Canis lupus familiaris: one gene and its partners. The protein of the gene in region 3 purifies or fractionates together with the protein of the main gene of each other region. This does not show direct contact. Links are inferred from orthologs where the notes say so. Each region holds a gene or a part of one and is shown on either strand. Other genes may lie near its edges.

The links.
Region 1: the proteins of IRF2 (region 3) and IRF2BPL purify together in Homo sapiens (affinity purification with mass spectrometry; 3 studies listed by BioGRID and IntAct, counting the BioPlex papers as one, with this or other methods). This does not show direct contact. The link is inferred for Canis lupus familiaris from reciprocal best matches to the Homo sapiens genes IRF2 and IRF2BPL.
Region 2: the proteins of IRF2 (region 3) and IRF2BP1 purify together in Homo sapiens (affinity purification with mass spectrometry; 4 studies listed by BioGRID and IntAct, counting the BioPlex papers as one, with this or other methods). This does not show direct contact. The link is inferred for Canis lupus familiaris from reciprocal best matches to the Homo sapiens genes IRF2 and IRF2BP1.

Annotation. Positions count from the first base shown.
Region 1 is NC_049229.1:50,178,292-50,185,512, reverse strand, and holds IRF2BPL (probable E3 ubiquitin-protein ligase IRF2BPL), read left to right. Parts: upstream 1-2,497; 5' UTR 2,498-2,836; coding exon 2,837-5,197; 3' UTR 5,198-6,050; downstream 6,051-7,221. UniProt on the Homo sapiens protein: Probable E3 ubiquitin protein ligase involved in the proteasome-mediated ubiquitin-dependent degradation of target proteins. Through the degradation of CTNNB1, functions downstream of FOXF2 to negatively regulate the Wnt signaling pathway.
Region 2 is NC_049222.1:110,447,974-110,455,055, forward strand, and holds IRF2BP1 (interferon regulatory factor 2-binding protein 1), read left to right. Parts: upstream 1-2,357; 5' UTR 2,358-3,052; coding exon 3,053-4,807; 3' UTR 4,808-5,214; downstream 5,215-7,082. UniProt on the Homo sapiens protein: Acts as a transcriptional corepressor in a IRF2-dependent manner; this repression is not mediated by histone deacetylase activities. May act as an E3 ligase towards JDP2, enhancing its polyubiquitination. Represses ATF2-dependent transcriptional activation.
Region 3 is NC_049237.1:46,980,143-46,987,521, reverse strand, and holds the start of IRF2 (interferon regulatory factor 2), read right to left. Parts: upstream 4,289-7,379; 5' UTR 4,196-4,288; coding exon 4,145-4,195; intron 3,635-4,144; exon of another isoform or gene 3,341-3,634; intron 1-3,340. UniProt on the Homo sapiens protein: Specifically binds to the upstream regulatory region of type I IFN and IFN-inducible MHC class I genes (the interferon consensus sequence (ICS)) and represses those genes. Also acts as an activator for several genes including H4 and IL7.

The DNA of each region.
Region 1 (7,221 bases), on a different chromosome or scaffold from region 3:
GGTCAAGTGTCAAAATAAAAAGAAGTACTTCTTGTTTCTTCAACTGAACTTTATTACAAGTAAGAGTGAATAGTAGTCATGAGAATAATGATCCTCACCTTTTATGCGATTTACAAAGTACTTTCACATGTTCACTAGCAACAGTACCAGCATTAATACCAATACTAATAATAACCAACACTTACGGACGGCTTCCCGTGGGCCTGACACGGTGCTCTACACAGCGCAAGCTGTATTGGAGTCTGCGGCAACGGAAGATCCGAAACTTCTGTACATGTAAAAGAACTCACTGGCACAGCCTGTTTGGAGAGGGAAGGATGGAGGTTGGTTCGAAGGTGTATTTGCATAGCACTTTACATGAGAATGTAACGAAGAATGGGGGGACTGATGGAAATTTGGAGCACTGCAAACCACCTCTGGGAACCTGAGAACCCAAGGTAGCTTGTCACAGCTACCTCTCTGATTTTACTGGATTCCGATCTCAGCTCCATCTCTAATGGCCATGTGACCCTGGGCAAGTTATTTAACCTCTTTTGTGAGCCTGTAAAACAGAGTTCATGATAGAATCTACCTTGTGGATACTATTGAGAGTTTAATGATGAGGCAAGAAAATCACCTAGCAGTGTCTGGTTCGCAGTAACCTCAGTGAGTTACCTCCTAATTATGACAAGAAGCAAAATGAAATCTCAAACAATTCTAATAAGTTGGGAGCTATGATCCCATGTGTATGGGTGGAAAACGGAGAGAAGGTAAAAGAAAGTAATCAGATCAAGGTCACAGAGCCAGAGAGTGATAGGAAATTCCAACCTGATCCCGCAAACTCTACAACCTGAAATGCCGGTATATTGCTTCCTCTCTCCAGCCTTGACCAGAATTATTTCAATTTTCAGAGGGGTGGGGGAGGCAGACCCAGTACATAGAAGAAATGGTTGAACTGCCGTGACTACAGCTATGACCAACATGCCTGTTCCCCAATAAGCAGTAATGACGAGCAGCGGTCCCCTAATGGAAAAGAAATCATGGCCTTGCTCAGCCTTCTGGGGCACTGTGGAATGAAATCACAGCACGTGAGAAAGAATTTTGAAAGCTGCCACTGCGCTTTACAAAGAGATAGCAAAATCATTAAACGCTGCCCCACCTTCTTTTATCAAACCCGGAAAAACCACTCACCTGTTTGGCCTCTCCAGCACCTTCCCCCCTCCCTGCCCCAACTGCAGCTGTGCGCAGCCAGTAGACTGTTTTCCTTAAAGGCCTCCGGGTGCTCGTAGCTTCTTTCAGCCAAAATTTTTAGAATGCGACTGGGGGGGGGAGGAGTAGCTCACCCTGAATTCATTTAGCTCTGTCGTTGAAACTCAGGTTCCTAGACCAGAGGCACAAAAACAAATCGAAAAGGCAGTTTCTGGGCAAATGGAAAACAGCTAATTTTGCAGGTGCTTTGGCATCGGTGGTAGCAAGTGAACGTAACATCCATACGGGGTGGGGCGGGGCGGGGGGGGATGATTTGATTACAGATAAAACGAGAATGAGATTCGCGACGAAAATCCTGAAACTGGACATTTAAATGCACTGCCCGGGGTGGGGTGGGGAGCGGGATCGGAAATGACGCTTGTGGTTTTCAAATGCGTTTTTACTTGGGAAAGCCGGGCGGGGAAAGGAAAGGTCATCGTCTGTTTAATTTCCACCCCCAGCCCAGGACGTCCAGCATTAGCTCGCCGGGCCTCAGCTGTTGTACACACACGGGGAGGGGGGAGGGGAAGGCGGAGGCGCGGAGGCGGGGCCGCCGGGGAGGAATCTGGGCGCCCTGCCGCGCATGCGCCCTCCCCGAGCAACAAGTGGCTCCACAGACAGAGGAAGTGTAAAGGGGAGGGAGGGGGGAGAAGTGGTGCAGAGCATGGCGGTGACGTCAGCGCTCCGCCCGGGCGGCATCCCGCGCGGCCAAGCCGGGGACAGCGCGAGCCGCAGCGCGAGCGGGAGCGCCGAGACGCGCCTCCGGAACGTAGAGTAACAATCACAACCCCACATTCCGGGCGAGTGCGAGCGGGAAGGGATGCGACCCGGGCCGAGGCGCCGCGCGAGCGCCCTGCAGCCAACGTGAGCGCCGCCAGCCGCGGCGGCCGGGGCGCCGGCCGGGCCTGGGGGCGGCGGGAGCCTGCGTGCGTGCGCTCCTCTCCTCTGCTCTCGTGCGTCCTGGAAGCGGTGGCCGCGGCGGCTCCCTCCGGCCGTGCAAACCCAGCCGCCGCCAGCGGAACGGCCGACGCTGCGGAGGGGAGAAGCTCCTCTCGGCGGCCACCCCCTCCCTCCCCCGGCGACTTCAGCAAGATTGGACCCGGGCACCGGGTGGCACTGAGCCCTCTAGCCTTCGCCCCAGTGAGCCTGGCGGGGAGAGGACGCAGCTCGTAGGGGGGCCCCCAGGGAGAGGAAGAGACCACCCCTTTCGAGCTTCCAGGCACCAGCCACTCCGGGGAGGGGGCCAAGAGCCCACGGCGGCCAGCACCCGGCACCCTCGCCCCCTCCCCTCGGGCCCGGAGCTCGCAGCCCGGGTCCGCGGCACCAGGAAGAAGGCGCCCGAGCTCCCCTCCCGACGACACAGCCGCAGTAGGAGGTGGGGGCGACGAGCGGGCAGCACTCGTCCGCCGCCCCGGCGGTGGAGCCCCCACGGAGAGGCGCTGCGCCGGCGGTGGAGACTCGCGCTCCCTCCAGCCCCTGGGGCAGAACTTTCTCGCCCCCCCTTCCTCCCCCGCAGCCGGACTCCCTCCCCAGCCGGCCAGTCCTCCCGGAGGAGAAGGCGCCGCGGAGACAGCCTGGGCGGGGGCCTACCTTCCCCAGGGCGGGCATCATGTCGGCGGCGCAGGTGTCCTCGTCCCGGAGACAGTCTTGCTACCTGTGCGACCTGCCCCGCATGCCCTGGGCCATGATCTGGGACTTCTCGGAACCCGTATGCCGCGGTTGCGTCAACTACGAGGGCGCCGATCGCATCGAGTTCGTGATCGAGACGGCGCGCCAGCTGAAGCGGGCGCACGGCTGCTTTCAGGACGGCCGCTCCCCCGGGCCGCCGCCGCCCGTCGGGGTCAAGACGGTGGCCCTGTCGGCTAAGGAGGCGGCGGCCGCGGCGGCGGCGGCGGCGGCGGCCGCGCAGCAGCAGCAGCAGCAGCAGCAGCAACAGCAGCAGCAGCAGCAGCAGCAGCTCAACCACGTCGACGGTTCCAGCAAGCCTGCGGTGCTGGCGGCCCCGTCCGGCCTGGAGCGCTACGGCCTGAGCGCTGCCGCCGCCGCCGCCGCCGCCGCCGCCGCCGCCGCCGTGGAGCAGCGCAGCCGCTTCGAGTACCCGCCGCCGCCGGTGAGCCTGGGGAGCAGCAGCCACGCCGCGCGGCTGCCCAACGGGCTGGGGGGCCCCAACGGCTTCCCCAAGCCGACACCGGAGGAGGGACCCCCGGAGCTGAACCGCCAGAGCCCCAACTCCTCTTCTGCCGCGGCGTCGGTGGCGTCTCGGCGCGGGACGCACGGTGGGCTAGTGACGGGGCTGCCCAACCCGGGGGGTGGTGGAGGCCCCCAGCTCGCGGTGCCCCCCAACCTGCTGCCGCAGACGCTACTTAACGGCCCGGCCAGCGCCGCGGTGCTGCCCCCGCCGCCGCCCCACGGCCTCGGCAGCCGTGGGCCCCCGACGCCCGCGCCCCCAGGGGCACCCGGGGGCCCCGCTTGTCTTGGGGGCGCCCCGGGCGTCTCGGCCGCGTCGTCCTCGGCGTCGTCTTCGACCTCGTCGTCGGTGGCGGAGGTGGGGGTGGGTGCTGGCGGCAAAAGGCCCGGCTCGGTGTCGAGCACCGACCAGGAGCGCGAGCTGAAGGAGAAGCAGCGCAACGCCGAGGCCCTGGCCGAGCTGAGCGAGAGCCTGCGCAACCGCGCGGAGGAGTGGGCCAACAAGCCCAAGATGGTCCGCGACACGCTGCTCACGCTGGCTGGCTGCACGCCCTACGAGGTGCGTTTCAAGAAGGACCACTCGCTGCTGGGCCGCGTCTTCGCCTTCGACGCCGTCTCCAAGCCCGGCATGGACTACGAGCTGAAGCTGTTCATCGAGTACCCCACGGGCTCCGGCAACGTGTACTCCAGCGCGTCCGGTGTGGCCAAGCAGATGTACCAGGACTGTATGAAGGACTTCGGCCGGGGTCTCTCCTCCGGCTTCAAGTACCTGGAGTACGAGAAGAAGCACGGCTCCGGGGACTGGCGCCTCCTGGGAGACCTGCTGCCCGAGGCCGTGCGCTTCTTCAAGGAGGGCGTGCCCGGCGCCGACATGCTGCCCCAGCCCTACCTGGACGCCAGCTGCCCCATGCTGCCCACGGCCCTGGTGAGTCTGAGCCGCGCCCCCAGCGCGCCCCCGGGCACCGGGGCCCTGCCGCCCGCCGCCCCTTCGGGCCGGGGCACCGCCGCCAGTCTCCGCAAGAGGAAGGCGTCCCCCGAGCCCCCGGACTCCGCCGAGGGCGCCCTAAAACTGGGCGAGGAGCAGCAGAGGCAGCAGTGGATGGCGAACCAGAGCGAGGCACTGAAGCTCACCATGTCGGCCGGCGGCTTCGCGGCGCCGGGGCACGCCGCCGGGGGTCCGCCCCCCCCGCCCCCGCCCCTGGGACCCCATTCCAACCGGACCACCCCGCCCGAGTCAGCCCCTCAGAACGGCCCGTCCCCCATGGCCGCCCTCATGTCGGTGGCAGACACTCTGGGCACGGCGCACTCGCCGAAGGACGGCAGCTCCGTGCACTCCACCACTGCGTCCGCCAGGCGCAACAGCAGCAGCCCGGTGTCACCGGCCTCCGTGCCCGGGCAGCGCCGCTTGGCATCACGGAACGGGGACCTGAATTTACAGGTGGCGCCCCCGCCGCCTAGCACCCACCCGGGCATGGACCAAGTGCACCCCCAAAACATTCCGGATTCCCCTATGGCCAACAGCGGGCCCCTCTGCTGTACCATTTGCCACGAACGTTTGGAGGACACGCATTTCGTTCAGTGCCCATCCGTCCCCAGCCACAAATTCTGCTTCCCTTGCTCTAGAGAGAGTATCAAGGCCCAGGGGGCCACCGGCGAGGTGTACTGCCCCAGCGGAGAGAAATGCCCCCTGGTTGGGTCGAATGTACCTTGGGCCTTCATGCAGGGCGAAATCGCGACGATCTTAGCTGGAGATGTTAAAGTGAAAAAGGAGAGAGACCCTTGAACCACAAGACGGCCACCTCCTCTGCCCCTGACCAGCTCCTCTCCGATCCAGAGGGCCCCTCCCCCACCCACAGCGACCCTCCCTCCCCTTGCCCCTAAGATGTAGAATTGTGAATATAACAAACTGCAAAAAGTTAGTCTTATGTATAGACATTATTTTCGTCGTATGTTTCTATATTTTGAAACAAAAGGTATGTAACTTCTTCATTTGAAGGATAAGCTGGTTTGTGTTAAGCAGTATAATATTGGTTGGGTCATTTGCATCATTTCGTTAGCATTTATTTGGTGGCAGAGTGTTTGCCTAGGTACAGAATTAATAGCCCTTAGCAACGACTGCTGCTGGTGTGTATTTTTGTAAATGTTATGCACTCTCTGAAAGGAAAAAAAAAAAAAACAAAAGAAAATGACTTTTTTTTTTTTTGCCAAGGCCAGTGTTGCTGCCTAAAAAAAAAAAAAAAAAAAAGATGCTATAAAATGGTGAAAGCTTCTTTCTAAACAGCCCCAAGTGTTGAAGTCTTCACTTTATTTTGTTCCATTTTGTTCTGTTCTGTTTTGTTTTTCTGTTTTGTTTGCAAAATGGTAAGGGGGGGGTTGTTGGGGGGGCGGGGTGTTTTTTGTTGCAAGTTTGTGAGGGAAAATGTTTTGGTTTGTTTCTACGGACCTGAATGTGTTGGATCTTCACGTGTTGTTTTGTTTTTGCTTTATTGATGCACGGATGCTTTTGAACAGTAGAGCGAAATGCTAGACATGGGGAATCTGCTCTGTTTGTCCTTTATACATTTCTGTAGTTAACAGAACACTGTAATGTGCCTTGGAGCTTAGTAACTTGTAATAAATTCAATTGATATTAATTCTGCCCCGAGTCAGCAAGTGTGTTTTTCTAGAGCTAAGGCCACGTAGTAGTTCCAACATAGGGGACACCCTCCCTGCCAACGTAGAGCACAAATGCTGGTGTCTTTGCAAAGCCTGGGAGGTGGCATCTGTAGAAGGCCCTGTGCTGGCGGACTGCCCCTCCCCCCCACCAGACTATTTACATTCACCTCTTGGGGCAGGACAGTTGCTGACTAAGCAATTTCTGTTTACTCTTCTGCATCTCTATTTTCCCTGAGCGCCCCAGCTGCAAATGGCATTGTCAGAAACTCGCCCTGTGGCCTCGGGTATGTGCCGATCTCCAGTGCAGCTGTGCCTTGTGCAAGTGGGAAAAACAACAACAACAACAACAACAAAAACACAAGAAACTAGGATGCTTTGCCTCTTAGATGTGGCAGGAATCACACTTACTGCACATTATAAAGCAAAAACGCCACAGAGCTGGGAGCTGTCAGTGGAGGCAGGAGGGGTGTGGGCAACAGGGAAACAGGCATGTAGTGAGCCAGGAGAGTTGCCAGCAGCTTCCAGCTGATGCATTGGAAAAACAGTGCCACCTCATTCATCACTCATTCCCCACCCCCTACCCCCTTTGTGATAAGTATTTCTAAGGGCAGGACACTTAGCTGGTGGGAAGATGATGGCAGGGAATGGGGGAAGAGAGAAAAAAGCCAAACCCCACGTCCAGAGGCAAAGGTCACTTATGACACCAAATAAAGCCTGTTCCCATGGGTGGGGAAATTCAAGGATTGGTCTAATCAACTTTTGGGCAGCATTTGGGCGGCAGAGAGGGGTAGGGGAAAGGACTAGGCCTGGAGCTCTGAGCCCCCTTGGCTGAGACCAGACCGGAGCAGTCCCAGAGCTAGGGCAAGGCAAACAAACCTGGCTTGGACCTTGGACCTTGTGGGAGGCAAATAGAAGAGAGTAGAAAATAGGAGGGAGGTAGCAAAACAAAACCTATCTGAAATTCATTCCTGGTCACACCTGACTCCCTCTGGGAGAGGGGCATGCTGGGCCAGGACAGTCTCTATCCAGGTGAGGAATAAATGAATAAGGGAAGAGACTTGGTGCCTCCACCCCACTCCCATCAAAGAGGGTGCAGGAGCCAGGAGGCTAGGGAGATGGGTATGGGTGCAGGCATGTTTGGGGAAAACCAAA
Region 2 (7,082 bases), on a different chromosome or scaffold from region 3:
GCAAGAACTGGTTCTCTTTTTTACTCCTAAACCTGCTGCAAAGCAGAGTAGCAAAGTAGCTAATAACCACCACCCTGGATCCGGTCCTACCTGGCCCAGCCCCTGGTGCCACCCTGGCCAACTGTGTGGGCCTTCTTTTTCCTCATCTGTAAAATGGGCACAAAAACGTAGGAGGCTACAGCTGCATTCCATTGTCATTCTTCAGGTCTCGACTCCAATATTCACCTCCTCAGAAAAGGCTTTCCTGGCAATCTCTACCCACCCCATCAGTTAGGCAGGGAAAATCCAGTTAAATAATCATTTGAGTAAACTTAAATTGATTTGTCTGCCTCCATCACCAGGATGAGCCTTGTCAGGGCAAGCAAGGCCTGTACCTAGCTCAGTGCTGTGTCCTCAGCATTGCCCAACACAGAAGAGGGTTGCATCTTTGAGTTAATGGGCAGCTCAAAAAGCAGGGTTGCCATGTATGGTGCTCCTTTCCTGGGCCAGGCACCATGCTAAACATTTTTACTGGTTTTCCTTTAAACTTGAACCTGCCCAATGAAAAGCAGACTCTCCAGGGGTCTCTGTTTTTTTCCTGAGAAGTTTAGGGACTTTCCCTAACCTTGCCAGCGGCCAATCCCAATTCAGCCACCTGAAGCTGGACTCTGGCCAGAACTCTTGATCCCCCCACTGGTGTTTCCTGAAGAATGGCTTAAAGGCAATTCTAGGAGATATGTGGATAGCCTTTTTAATGATTCTATATGGTGTGTTAACTTGATTAAAATGTAGCTAGTACCCCAAAACTGCAGCTAGTACCTAAAAAAACCTACACTTGTGCACATAATACAGACATACCTCGCTTTATTGTGCTTTGCTTTATTGCACTTTGCAGATACTGCTTTTTTTATTTTTTACTAGTTGAAGGTTTGTGGCAACCCTGTGTCAAGCAAGTCAATTGGTGCCATTTTTCCAACAGTCGCTCACTTGTGTCTGTGTTACATTTGGTAATTCTTGCCATATTTCCAACTTTGGCATTATTACTACATTTGGTATGGTGCTCTGTGATCAGTGACTAAAACTCAGAGCTCAGATGACGGTTAGCATCTTTTAGCAATAAAATATTTTAAAATTAAGGTATATATGTTGTTTCTTTGGACGTCATACTAGCGCACGCGCATAGCGTAACCTTCACTTTTAGACGCGCTGGAAAAACCGAGAAGTTCATCTGATTTGCTTTGTTGCTAGATTTGCTGTATTGTGGTGGTCTGGAAGGAGCCTACAATATTTCCGAGGTATGCTTGTATTTCTTAGGATGAGGCAAAAGTAATCCTTTTTAACGCCTTTACACACACACACACACACACACACACACACACACACCCCACCTCAGGGGAGTCAATTTCCAGAAAATAATCCAGGTGGTAAGTGAAATTGTGAAGCTGACACTGATTGGCTAGCAAAATCAGAGCTGCTAGGATAGCAGCAGGATGTGGGAGAGGAAGCAGACAATCCAATTAGTTTGAGAACTACTAATGAATGCAACTCTGACAAGCCATTCAGATATTTTTTGAGCGCTTATCCCAGCTTACAGAGAGCAAGAGGGTGATGGGTGTTAGAATCTGGAGACTTCTCTCCTCCCCTCCCTAACTCTTCCTGCCTGACTCGCACCGTTCCCGATGCTAGTCCGGGGGATGATGCGGGGTGTCCCCAAAACCTGGTTGGTCCGATCAGGTAGTAAGCACTCAAGGTTGTAGAAAAATCACCCCCCACAACTCTTGCTCGCCATCTCTGGCCTCTTTCTCTTCCACCAAATTACCGAGCCGTAGAGGATGAGGATTCCCTCAACCTGGTGCTCCCCCAAAAAGTAAAGCGCCCAGAAATTGAGCCGGGGGTGGGAGACAGCGGGAATGGGGAAGGCCTCCTCTCCACCTCCCAGACAGCGGAAGTGCGTCAGTTTATCCTCCCGGCAGAGCATTTTGGGAATTGTAGTGAAGCGGTGGCGGGGAGGCGGGAGGGAGAAACACCGCGTAACCCTTTGTAGACCGGAGCGCGCGGCCGAGCCGGAACGGAGTTCGAGGGCGCTCCACCACTCTCTTTAATAGATGAGACGACTGAGGCCAAGTCCTGGCCCAGAGGCCTCCGTTCTTCCCCTCGCTCCGGCTGTTCCCGGCCCAATTCAGAGAATGCTACACAAGACAGCAGGAAAACGAGGTGCCAAAGCAGAACCCTCCCTCCCCGAGTTGCCAGCTTTCCCGTCCCCCCTACCCTGCAACCATCCAATCAGAGCCCCTCCGCCCCGCCCCAGAAGCTGCTGCCTCCCTAACCAGTCATTGGCCCACCTTTGATGGGCGGGGAATCGGGCTTCAGAGAGAGCAAGACTTTTGCCTGAAGGTGCACAGCAAGTCCGATCCGACTCTAGACGCCCGAAAGCTTGTCCACTTCCTACCATGTCTGAATCCGGGGTAGCTCTGACCATTCAGATATCATCTCCGCTCCCAAGCCCCAGTGCCCCAGCTCCTCTGAGCACGCCGAGCTCACCGCCGGGCAGCGTCGAGCGGTAGGATTTGCGCGGCTGAGAGACGGCGAGCCCGCTCCTCCGGCGCCAGCCGTCCCCTTTAAGAATCGGCCCCGGCGGGACTACGTTTCCCAGAAGGCTTTGCCGGCGCGTTATGTAACTTTCCCTGCGAAGCGGCCTCTGGGGCAGAAGGAGGTGGAGGCGGCGGCGGCCGTTGCAGCGGCGGCGGCGGCGGGAGCGGCGGGACCCCGAGGCGGCGGCGCCCGCGGCCCATCGCGGGGCCGGAGCTGTGCGCCTCGGCCGGGAGCCCGGAGCGGGCGGAGGCGCCGACGTGCCTCCTACAGGCTTTTCAAGGAGGCGGGAGTGAGGAAAAAGGCTTAGGGCCCAGGGGGCGGAGAAGGGGGGCCGGGCCTGGATCCGCGGGGAGGCCGAGCCGGAGAGGCCTGACTGTGGCTCGCGCGGTCCCCGGGACGCGAATCGAACGTCGGGCGGCGCGGATCGAACGTCGGCGGCGGGTGGAACGCCGGGGCTCAGCGGCGCGCGCGCGCGGGGGTCATGGCGTCGGTGCAGGCGTCCCGCCGCCAGTGGTGCTACCTGTGCGACCTGCCCAAGATGCCGTGGGCCATGGTGTGGGACTTCAGCGAGGCTGTGTGCCGCGGGTGCGTGAACTTCGAGGGCGCGGATCGCATCGAGCTGCTCATCGACGCTGCCCGCCAACTCAAGCGCAGCCACGTGCTCCCCGAGGGCCGCTCCCCCGGGCCCCCAGCCCTCAAGCACCCGACCACTAAGGACCTGGCTGCGGCCGCCGCACAGGGGCCTCAGCTACCGCCTCCGCAGGCCCAGCCCCAGCCGTCAGGGACAGGCGGCGGCATCTCGGGCCAGGACCGCTATGACAGGGCCACATCGTCCGGCCGCCTCCCCCTGCCTTCGCCCGCCCTGGAGTACACCCTGGGGTCCCGCTTGGCTAATGGGCTGGGCCGGGAGGAGGCCGTGGCGGAGGGGGCGCGAAGGGCCCTGCTTGGCTCCATGCCCAGCTTGGTGCCCCCCGGGCTGCTGGCAGCTGCAGTGTCTGGCCTGGGAAGCCGAGGGCTGACGCTGGCACCCGGCTTGAGTCCTGCCCGTCCAGCTTTTGGCTCCGATTTCGAGAAGGAGAAGCAGCAGAGGAATGCGGACTGTCTGGCAGAACTGAACGAGGCCATGCGTGGCCGGGCAGAGGAGTGGCACGGGCGCCCCAAAGCTGTGCGGGAACAGCTGCTGGCCCTGTCTGCCTGCGCCCCCTTCAACGTTCGCTTCAAGAAGGATCACGGGTTGGTGGGGCGGGTGTTCGCTTTTGACGCTACCGCCCGCCCGCCGGGCTACGAGTTCGAGCTGAAGCTTTTTACCGAATACCCCTGTGGTTCTGGCAACGTGTACGCAGGAGTCCTGGCCGTGGCTCGCCAGATGTTTCATGATGCTCTGCGGGAGCCGGGCAAGGCTCTGGCCTCATCAGGCTTCAAGTACCTCGAATATGAACGGAGGCACGGCTCAGGGGAATGGCGCCAGCTGGGGGAGCTGCTCACCGACGGGGTCCGCAGCTTCCGAGAGCCCGCTCCTGCCGAGGCCCTGCCGCAGCAGTACCCGGAGCCAGCCCCTGCAGCCCTCTGTGGCCCACCCCCGCGAGCCCCATCCCGGAACCTGGCGCCCACGCCACGCCGTCGCAAGGCATCCCCTGAGCCCGAGGGTGAGGCGGCTGGCAAGATGACCACCGAGGAACAGCAGCAGCGGCACTGGGTAGCGCCCGGTGGCCCATACTCCGCCGACACCCCCGGTGTGCCTTCACCCATCGCCGCCCTGAAGAATGTGGCGGAGGCCCTGGGCCACTCCCCCAAGGACCCTGGCGGGGGCGGGGGCCCTGTACGCGCTGGGGGTGCCAGCCCCGCAGCCTCCTCCACCGCCCAGCCTCCCGCCCAGCATCGTCTAGTGGCCCGCAATGGTGAGGCAGAAGTCAGCCCCACGGCAGGGGCAGAAGCTGTGAGCGGGGGTGGTAGCGGCACCGGGGCGACCCCTGGGGCCCCCCTGTGCTGTACCCTGTGCCGGGAGCGGCTGGAAGACACCCACTTCGTCCAGTGCCCCTCAGTGCCCGGACACAAGTTCTGCTTTCCCTGCTCACGGGAATTCATCAAGGCACAGGGCCCTGCCGGGGAGGTGTACTGCCCCAGTGGAGACAAGTGCCCCCTGGTGGGCTCCTCTGTCCCCTGGGCCTTCATGCAGGGCGAGATCGCCACTATCCTTGCTGGAGACATCAAGGTTAAGAAAGAACGGGACCCCTAGGCCACCACTGTCACCAGTCTACTGCCTCCCACCCCCTTGCTACCCACCGCTTCTGCGGATAAATTATTCCCTCTCCCCCAGCCCAGTGCTACCCCCACCTGTGTACATACCCCCTTCCTCATCCCAGATGGGTCCCCTGGGGTAGATGCATTGAGGGTGGGGGGAGAAAGCTTGTGGCTTCTGTTCGAGGGGGTGTTTGGGGTCCTACGGCCCCTCCAGTATCCCTCGCCCCTCCTTGGCTTGGCTTTGCTGCTGCTTGTAGTTGGGGGAGAGGTGCCCCCCTCCTCCTTGAGAAGGGGCCTCCTGAAATCTCGCTCTTTATAAACAAAGCAAAAGCATTTTATTGCCCCCCCCTCCCGCCCCCTTTTCCTCCTTCAATAAACCGAAAGATGGTTTTTTTTTTTTTCCTTCTTGGTCCCTTAGTTGTGTGAGATGCTGCGCCCTCTCTGGGACCGAACTGGTCCTGCAGGGAAGGGACTTTGCGTTGTAGCCTCCAGGTGGCGCCCTTCACTCAGGCGGGCCCGTTGACTGTTTTTAGAAAGGCGGACCACAGCTCAAGCGTGCTAGCCATCTGCCCATTTTCCAGATGGCAGAACTGAGGCCCAGAGCACGGGAGGCTCCTTGCGTGGGAACCAGAGCCAACCTAGGGAAGGAGGTTTCCCTTCCAGGCCAGCCCCTGTATCTGCCCAGGACGTGAGGGTACTCCGCGCCCTCCAGGAGAGGGGAAGGAGGCATCAGGAGGCTTCCTAGAAGGGAAGGATAGTGAGTTCTTGCTCAGAGGCAGAGAATTAGGCTACATTGCTTAGGGGGACTGACCTAGGAGAGGAAATTTACCTCTGTGGGGTACCCTAACAGGATTCCTGGAAACAAGGGGACTGCTTCCTGCCTCTGGTGGTGCCCTGAACTGTGCTCCTCGCGCCCATCTTGGGAGACCAGTCTCAATAGTGGCCACCCTAGGACACCGTGACTGGCAGGGTAAAAGGCACAACCCTTGCGGCCGGCCGCCTCTGATGTGCGCGGCCTTGTCCCGCACCTGTCCCGATGGGCTGATCATTAACCAGGACTTCCTGCTCTCTGGCGTCAAGAGGCGGGGCCTGAGCAGCCTGCGGCAAAGCACGGGTTAAGGGGAGGGGGCCGCCCCAAGAGCCCAGCCCCCACCCCTGCAGTCTCCCTCTGCGACCCCAAAGTGGAGATTGCGGGAAGGGGCGATTCGGGGCGCCAAGGCCAGCAGATGGACGGAAAGATGGGGGAATGATAGTGTGTCCTGTGACCGCGCAGCACTGGCACACAGCCCTGAGACCCCAGACTGCCCCACATCTCAGGAACACAGGTGTCCCACCACCTAAGTCTGGAAGACCCTATAGTCTTGACTCATCCTCTTAGCTACCCACGTGTCCCACACATATCTGGCAGATCCACATGTCCCAAATCCCAAATATTAGGGACCCGGAGACTTTGTCCTCAACATCTGGAGGACCCTTAACTTTGAACCCCCAGTTCTTGGGCTGGAGGGAGGGGGTGCTCCCATCCCCTCCCCCAGCCATCAGGCCTCAGGTGTTGTCACCCCTGGTACTGCCAGCCTGGGCCCTGGGCTGGGCTGGGAAAACCAGCCCTGATTAAATATACCAGGCGATAAGCCTGGGGCAAGGGAGACGCTGGCTGGAGCTCCAGGCCTGGGCACCCATCCCCAGCAATCTTGTGGCATCCCCCTGCCCCAGCTCTGCAGACCCCAGCACTAGGCAGTTTCCCCCCATTCTCAGGGCCTCCAAACACCAGGACCCCCTGGTGAGGGCTGAAGAGCTGGGGAGGACACCTGGTCCTTTAAGAACAGCTGGTGTGGGAGGGTGGGCAGGGGAGTCACCCCCAGCCTGGCTGGTGTGTATTCTAGATAGAGGTTGAGTTAACCATTAACAGAACAGACGGTCTGACCTGTGTGGGTGTGAGGGGCTGGATCCATCCCCCCTTCCCCCCTGTGCCAGGGTGGGGCCAGAGTGGAGGGGTTCTGGATTTATTGGGGGATCAGTGAGTAGATGAAGAGACTTCCCAAAAGGAGAAATGGACAGGGAGACCCAGGGAATGATGGTGAAGGTGGAGAGGGAGAGGTGGAGTAGGAGCTATAGAGATCAGCTCACTGGAAGAAGACAGAGACCCAGAGGGGGACAAGAGAGCTTGAGAGACCCTCCGAGATGGAGGAGATGCCGTGGACACAGAGATGCAGACAGACTTTCAGAAAAGCTAAGTAGAGAAATCCCCAGAGAGGTTCAGAGACACTGAG
Region 3 (7,379 bases):
CCTTGCCCTGGAGATACACATGCTCAGAATCCTTCATCAGAAGGAATCGCACAAGCCTTGTTTCTCATAAAAATAGGGACAATGAGGCATGCACATAGAGTGTGAGGCATAGGAGACATTCTTGCTAGACTCCAGTTTTCTCTTGTTTATTGAAGATGAATACTACACTGATAGAGGGGACTAGGAGCTGAAATAGAAACAAACCCATAACTCTTTATGGCCTTCCTAGACCAAGAGACATACACATAAAACAAAGTCCTTCATGCCTCTTCAGAATGGAAAATCCAAAGCAGCACAATCATAACACTAATACCAGTTTTGTATGACAAGCAAGGTCAACACGAGCAGAGCCAACTGAGAGTGACCGCGGATTCCCTATCCAAAGCCCCATCTAAAATGTGGAAAACTGGTCTGCATAGCATGGCCTCTGGGACAACGGAAAAATAAAAGATCTGGCCCTGAGAAGAGATCCTTGATTCAGTGGTTCTCCACCTTTGCTCTGGCCCACATATCTGGGGAATGGGGACCTGGGATGCCTGGTGGGGATCCGGGATGCCTGGTGGGGATCAGAGCCTTGCTATGGGGGTGGGGGTGGCGGTTCTTTGCGTGAAAGAGTCAAAGACTCGAGAGAAAGGTTGTAGACAGTGTTAAATCTAAAAGTTCCTTATGGCTTCTCAAAGCCACCCCGCCCCCGCTGGGGTGATTTGATACCCACATAAGCCCCATACGCCATACATAACAGAACGATGCAGCCCCATTTTACAGATGTGAAAAGCAAGGTACCAAAAGGAGAAGTGATTGGGAGAGTAAATGAAAGGGCTGAAAGTCAACTCCAGGCCTCTGGACACTTGAGTTCATGCCCCTTGAACATAGCTGGTTGTCAACAAGTATTTAATAAATTAATGATGTAAAGGTACAGTGTTTGTGTTCATTCAATAACATAACCGCCTGGGTAACTACAATGGTTCATATCCTGGGATTCTTGGCTCCCAAAGTTAACTGTGGCCATCAGGAGTCCTGGGCTAGTTTCCAACTCAGAAAGCCTAAGGAGACTATGAGTTTATCCAAAATGGGCTGCTCAGAGTCCAAAACGTCAAGTGTCTCTACTTTGGGCTGGAATGAGATCAACCAGACCTGAGGATGCTATTTCTCCCAGGTCAATCAGGAGTTCTGACTAGAAGTCTGATGCAATTCTAATAATAAAAACAGGCATCGAAGTCTTCCTAATAAGCACAATATGTTTCAGGGACAGTCTTTCAAAAGATGAAGCTTGTGTTTGTGTGTGTGTGTGTGTGTGTGTGAGGGGGGATTATTTAAAAAGGATGCTTGAAGGTAAAATGCTGGCAACTAGGGGCCTGCTGCAGGCAGCCCAAGCTATGGCTTGGCATCAGGTGCCCGAGGGCTGAATTTGCTGCTTGTATATTTCCCTTGGTATATACAAAATATTGGCTTCACATTTAAATCTGGAACCTACATATAATTTATCAATCTTTGTTGGAAAAAAAAAAAATCAAGATTCATTCAACCTTCCTCACTTCCTTTCCTGCCAGGCACCTCCTTAAGAAACACCCTTTAACCCTGCCTGGGGCAAACATTATGCACCGGACATTGATCACACTCGGGACAAAAGCAGGGCACATCTAGGGCAAAAGGGCAGAAAGCCCTGATCTCCTATCCCACCTGAGAAGAACCTGGTGTCCCATACAGACAAAAAGAACGGATTTTATTAACAAAACTGACACTTCACAGCAATTTACATTATTTGCCTATAGTACCTTACGTACTTTTAAATGTTGTATTTTATAAAAATACACTATTTTTTTCACATACACAGTGCTGCACACACAGCAGTCAATAAATGAAAGTGAACCGAGTCCCCTTAATGATGCTATAGCAAAATACTAACATCAGCTAGGAGCTTATCTGTAATAACGATAATGAATTACAGAGTCTGCAGCAATGGTAAGAAAATTCAGACTAAATGACATTGAGCCTGAGAAGATTTATTTATATAAATATACAGATATATAGATATATATATCCTTGCACACACACACACACACACACACACAGAAAGTATACTGGTATCACTGTTATTTCCATATCATTTGGTCTCCATGGATACCATCCAACTTCTGACAGAAAAAATTCACTGACAATATTATATTTCACTGTTAAATTCTTTGATGCTTTACATAAAATAGCTATTCTGTATTTAATTCCTTGCCGTTATCCATAATACTCTCAGAAGAAGTAAATCCCTTTTTGCTGAAAATTCTGTAAGAGAAAGTCAGTGATCAATCCATAGTCCTGATTTCCTGGCTTTTTCGCATTAATAATAGTGACAGATTTCTGAAAGTTAATGCCTTACACATTTGTAGACTGCTGTAACTTCTATAACCTTCTCCCATACACAGTCTCTCCTCTGTTCCCCAAAGCAACCCTATCAGATAGGCAGTTAAGTATTATTATCACCTTCCATAGAAGTAACCCCAGAAGGTAATCACTGTTATTTATCTTTCGGTTGCCTATTATCAGCTCACCGACCACAATACAATTTCCCCAGAGGGTAAGGAAGTTGTTTTCCTGTTCCGAGTAGAACCCACAGAGCCTAGCACTGTGTCTGGGTGCAGAGTGAATGTCCCAGGAATATTTATTAAATGAATAAATAAAGTCCTTCCTCTGCTTTACACCCTTTTTGGTATATAGCACAAAACAGAACCATGTCCCAGATACCCCATTTAGAGTTCTGCTCTCTATCAAAAGGAAATTGTGTGAAAATGTTCTAGAAACAACCAAGCTCGTATCTGATAATCCTAAGAATAAAAGTACAGTGTCCTTGCAAACCTGAAGCAATGGATGCACACCAAAAGTTAAGTATCCAGAGTCTCGAATCTTCCACTACTAGTTGTAAGCTTAACAGCCTTATTAACTGGCTTTGGTATATGGAATATCTGCCTAATAAAGTCTTTCAGAAGGCACAGGAAAGCCGGGCCATAGTTCATAGAGCTGTCAGTACTTAAGGACAACCATTACTTTGCCATAATTTGCTTCCAATTCAACTACAAACTCTCACTTTTGATGCCGGTGACATTTTTACAGGTAAGTCAAGTCTGAAATATGCAAAATTACCTTTTACTTTCCAAGATCAAAAGGAAAAAAAAAAAAAAAAAAGGACAACTCCCTGAGGACGAAGTATATAAATGTTTAATATTAGGAAGCGATTACAAGTCATCACAGAACTCCTGAATCTAAAGAAGCGAAAATCTTGCTTCTTACATAACAGGCCGAGTTATAAATTATAATCGTTCACTGATTGCAGCGAAATTCCGGACTTTACCGTCTATCGATCAACAGATGTTCCAAGGTTACCCCGTAGAAATGCCCGTTTCATTTCTCAATATTCCATGTCTGAAGTCTCCTTAGAAAAGTCGAGTTTTTCCAGGACGTTCTAGGTTCCTACTTCTACCGCTGCCCCCTCCAAAAAAGGAAGCACGGGGCGCTGGGGAAACTGCTGGATCCTGGATCTGCTGGGCGCCCCGAAGTGGGGCAGGGATGGGCCCCCGGGCGCCGGGAGGCGAGCGCGCATCCAAGACCACCCGCCCTCGGAACCACGTCGGCCAGCGGCCCCTCGCTGCACCTGCCCTGAGAGCACCAAGTGCAGGCTCCTAGCCCCCCCCCCCAGCCCCCCACGCCGTGTGCAATCGGTCTGAACCCTGATAAGTGACTGCAGGCTCGACAGCAGCCTCGGTGATTCCTGAAAATCCCCAACAGGAAATGTAACCATCCTCCACCCTCCCCAGCCATTCATCAAAAGCAGACCGAGCCACTGCAACAGGGGAGGCCGGGGGGTCGGGGGGCGCGCAGGAGGCGCAGGGGGCACAGGAGCGCCCGCACTTTTCCAGCTTTGGAGACACTCCGCGTCTTGGGATTCCGTGACCCTGCACGCGGAGCACTACCCACCGCCCGCACGGAGGGAGGAGGCGGAGGAGGGACGGGGCGGGCAAAATGTCCCCAAGTTGCAGAGACTGTCCTCCGGGGCTGCCGAGGAGTGCGCCCGGGCCTGCCCGTGCCAGGGGGCGCAGCTCCCGCCCCCGCCCCCGCCCCCGCTCCCGCTGCAACAGGGCAAGGGCGGCGAACGTACCGGGACCTGGGGCCGGGGCCGGCGCGTCCTGGCGGGGGGACCCGGTCGCATCCGCAGCCCCCCTCCTCCCCCGAACTTGCGGAGGCTCCGCGGGCCCCGCTCGGTGGCCGGGCCGGGCCGGCGGGGCGGGGAGGAAGTGGCGGCCGCGCACCAACCACGTTCGGCCGGCGGGCGAATGCCGCTCGGCGCCCAGAGCGGGGTCGGAGGGCGCGGGGCGGGCACTCGCGTCCCCACCCCGCCCCGCCCGCGCCGCGGACCCCCGGGGGACGCCCGCCCCCGCGCCTGCCAGCGGGGCGCCGCTCGCTCCCCGGAGGCTCCCCGCCCCCACCGCGCCCGCGCCGCGGCCGAGGCGGGTCGGGCCCAGCGCGCCAGGCCGGCCCGGGGGCGCCCGCGGGGACCCGGCGGCGCCGGGCGCTAGGCCGCGGCCGGGGCGGTGACCCCTCGGCGCGGCGCCCTCCCGGGACGCGCCGCCGGAGCCCCCCGCGCGCCGGGACCAGCGCGGCGACAAAGCCCCGGGGCCAGGCCGGGCGCCGGCCGGCGGGAAGGAGGGCGCGGCGTCCCCCCGCGGCGGCGGCGGCGGCGGCGGCCCAGCTCCCGGGCAGCCGGGCGCGCCGGCCAGGCCCCGCTGGCACCCGCCGCCCGCCGCCGCCGCCCAGCACCGTGCCCCGGGCCCGCCGCGGGGCGCCCCACCAAGTTTCCCCTCGCCGGGGCCCGGGGCGCGGGGCGCAGGCAGCGGGGCGCACGGCGGAGCCGCCCGGAGACCGCGAGCCCCGCTCCCCTCCTTCGGATCCCGCGGCGACGGCGTCTGTAAACACGCACACGCACACACACACACACACGCACGCACACGAGAATTTTGTTTTAAAAGGAGGCCCGACTCCGGCGGACCTGCGCCCACACACCCAACACCTGGGGCGCAGAATCACACAGAGCAGGTCTGTGTCCATGGAGCCACCTCTCCGCATCTGCAAATCCAAAAGTGAAATTAAACCTCCACCGACCTCCTCCTCCTCCTCCTCCTCCCTCTCTACCTCCTCCTCCTCCTCCTTGCAGCCTCAGCAGCCCCAGCAGCCTCAGCAGCCCCAGCAGCAGCAGCAGAACCTGCTTCCCCTAAACATCAGACGATCCATCAGAGCGCCGACTGCTCCTCCAAAAATCAGTATTAATATTTATGAACCCCCAGCATTTTCCGGCTGCGACTGTGTCAAACCATCAGCACGCGCGCGCAACACACGCACACGCACACACACACACACACACACACATCCCCTCCAGTGCTCAGCAAACATGCCCTCGAGAAAAACACACACGCACAGTCACAACTATTATTTGAAAAATGTTACCTCTCAGTGTGCTTTTTCACACTACCAATACAATCCCGCAAGGTTTAAGTGTTGCTAGGGTGTGTGAAATGGAAATGAAAGCCCGTCAGTTGAATAATCGCAGGAGCAAAACTAAAAGTTACTCCCCAGCTTGCCTGAGAACAGTCCAGATCGAAAGCAAAACAAGGAGAGGAAACTGCGAAGCGCAGAGGCTGGAAATCCCCCCACCCCCCGCCCTCCTCCCTGCCTGCCTCCCTCCCTCCCTCCCTCCCTCCCTCGCTGCTCGCTCCCTCCCTCGCCTCCCCCCTCCGCCCTCCCCCCTCCGCCCTCCTCCCTCCGCCCTTCCTCCCCAGTGTTTGTTTCGAGCTTGTGCAACCGGGAGGTGGAGGCGGAGGGAGGGCGCGAGCGGCCGGGCCGGGAGGTGCGGAAGTTCGCCGCGGCCGCTCATTGGCGCCCGGCGCCGCTTTCATCATTTCTCGGAAAAGTCCATTTCATTTTCGCTTCCCCACGTCGCGGCAGCGGGAGCAACAAGCGGCTGCTCGTGAGTCTGTCGTCGGCCGCCGGGACGCTCCCGCCGGCCGCGCTCAGCCTCGGGGCGCCGGGGGCGCAGGGGGCGCGGGGGCGCGGGGGCGCGGGGGGCGCCGGCCTCCTCTCAGCCCCGAAGCTGTAGCGGCCGCTGGGCGAGGAAGGCAGGTCCCCGAGCCTCCAGCCTCGGGGCTCCCTGAAGGTTGGAGAGGGAGGAGGAGCCGGCGGCGGAGGAGGAGGGGGGCAGGGAGCCCGGGGGAGCTGGCCGTCCACCGGCCGGCGGGGCAGGTGGCAGGGGCGGGCAGCACCGCTCTGGTCCGAGGGGACAAAACCCCACTTTGTCGCGGGCCCGCCCCAGAGGGAGAGAGGGCACGGGCGCCCCGGCCAGACAGCGTGACTTAGACACCAGCTGCAAGACTGGGCCAGCCGAGGCCCTGCGACCTTAACCGGGTTGGAACCCTCATCAGTAGTTGAGGGTGTCCCCCTTGGAGGGCTGCTGCCGGCCCCGGCCCCACCTGGCGCCGCGTGGGTGGAGGGGGGACAGCGGGGGATGAGGAAGGCCTTGCCCACGCCTGCCAGGGCCGCCCCCTCCAGGCCCATGACCGCCGCCGGGGCAACAGGAGTGACTCCTCCCCGCGGGATGAGACGCGCAAGGCTGCGAGTTAATTTTGCCTCCCGACGTCTTCATCGTGGCCGGTCCAGGAGAGAGGCTTCTTCATCCTGGGACCCGGGCAGCCAGATTCCGATATGGCCTCTAACTGATTAGCTGGGCATGCCCCGGCAAGTGGCATGGCCTGAGGCCTCCGTTTTTAATGTGGTGGAATGGGGACAAATGATAGAACGCGGGTGGCCAGGTACAGCGCCTGTCGCCCTCCAGGTGTGTTAGCTCACACTGATGTAATTCATTTGGGACCTACCACCGCGGGGTCCTTTGCCAGGTAACGGTACCGGTTCTCCTCTAACTATACCTGTTTCTTCCCCCCACATGCAGCAAAATCAGCCTCCTCCCAAAGTTCTCTATCCAACCAAGAGAGGCCCTTCTCCGGAGGCCAACTATTTACACGTGAACACGTCTCTAAGAGCATAGCCCAGCATCCCTCTTTGCCACAGAAGTATTGAATTCTGTGCATTGGAAGAAGAAAAGTATCTGAGTGCGTATGTGCTGAGACAGCTGAGCGTTTAGGATTCTGTTTTGTGGCTGCAATCTCAGAACTAGATCCCACTGCACACATTGCTTCCTGTCCCCCCTCCTATGATCCTATCTGACACAGCCGCTTGCTTTCTTATTTCACAGAACATTGCCCACTCCGGGTGGTAGAGTCATTATATACAAAGTCTTTAGGGCAGTTGACACTCCCTCCACCACCTGGGGACCCAAGTTAAAAACC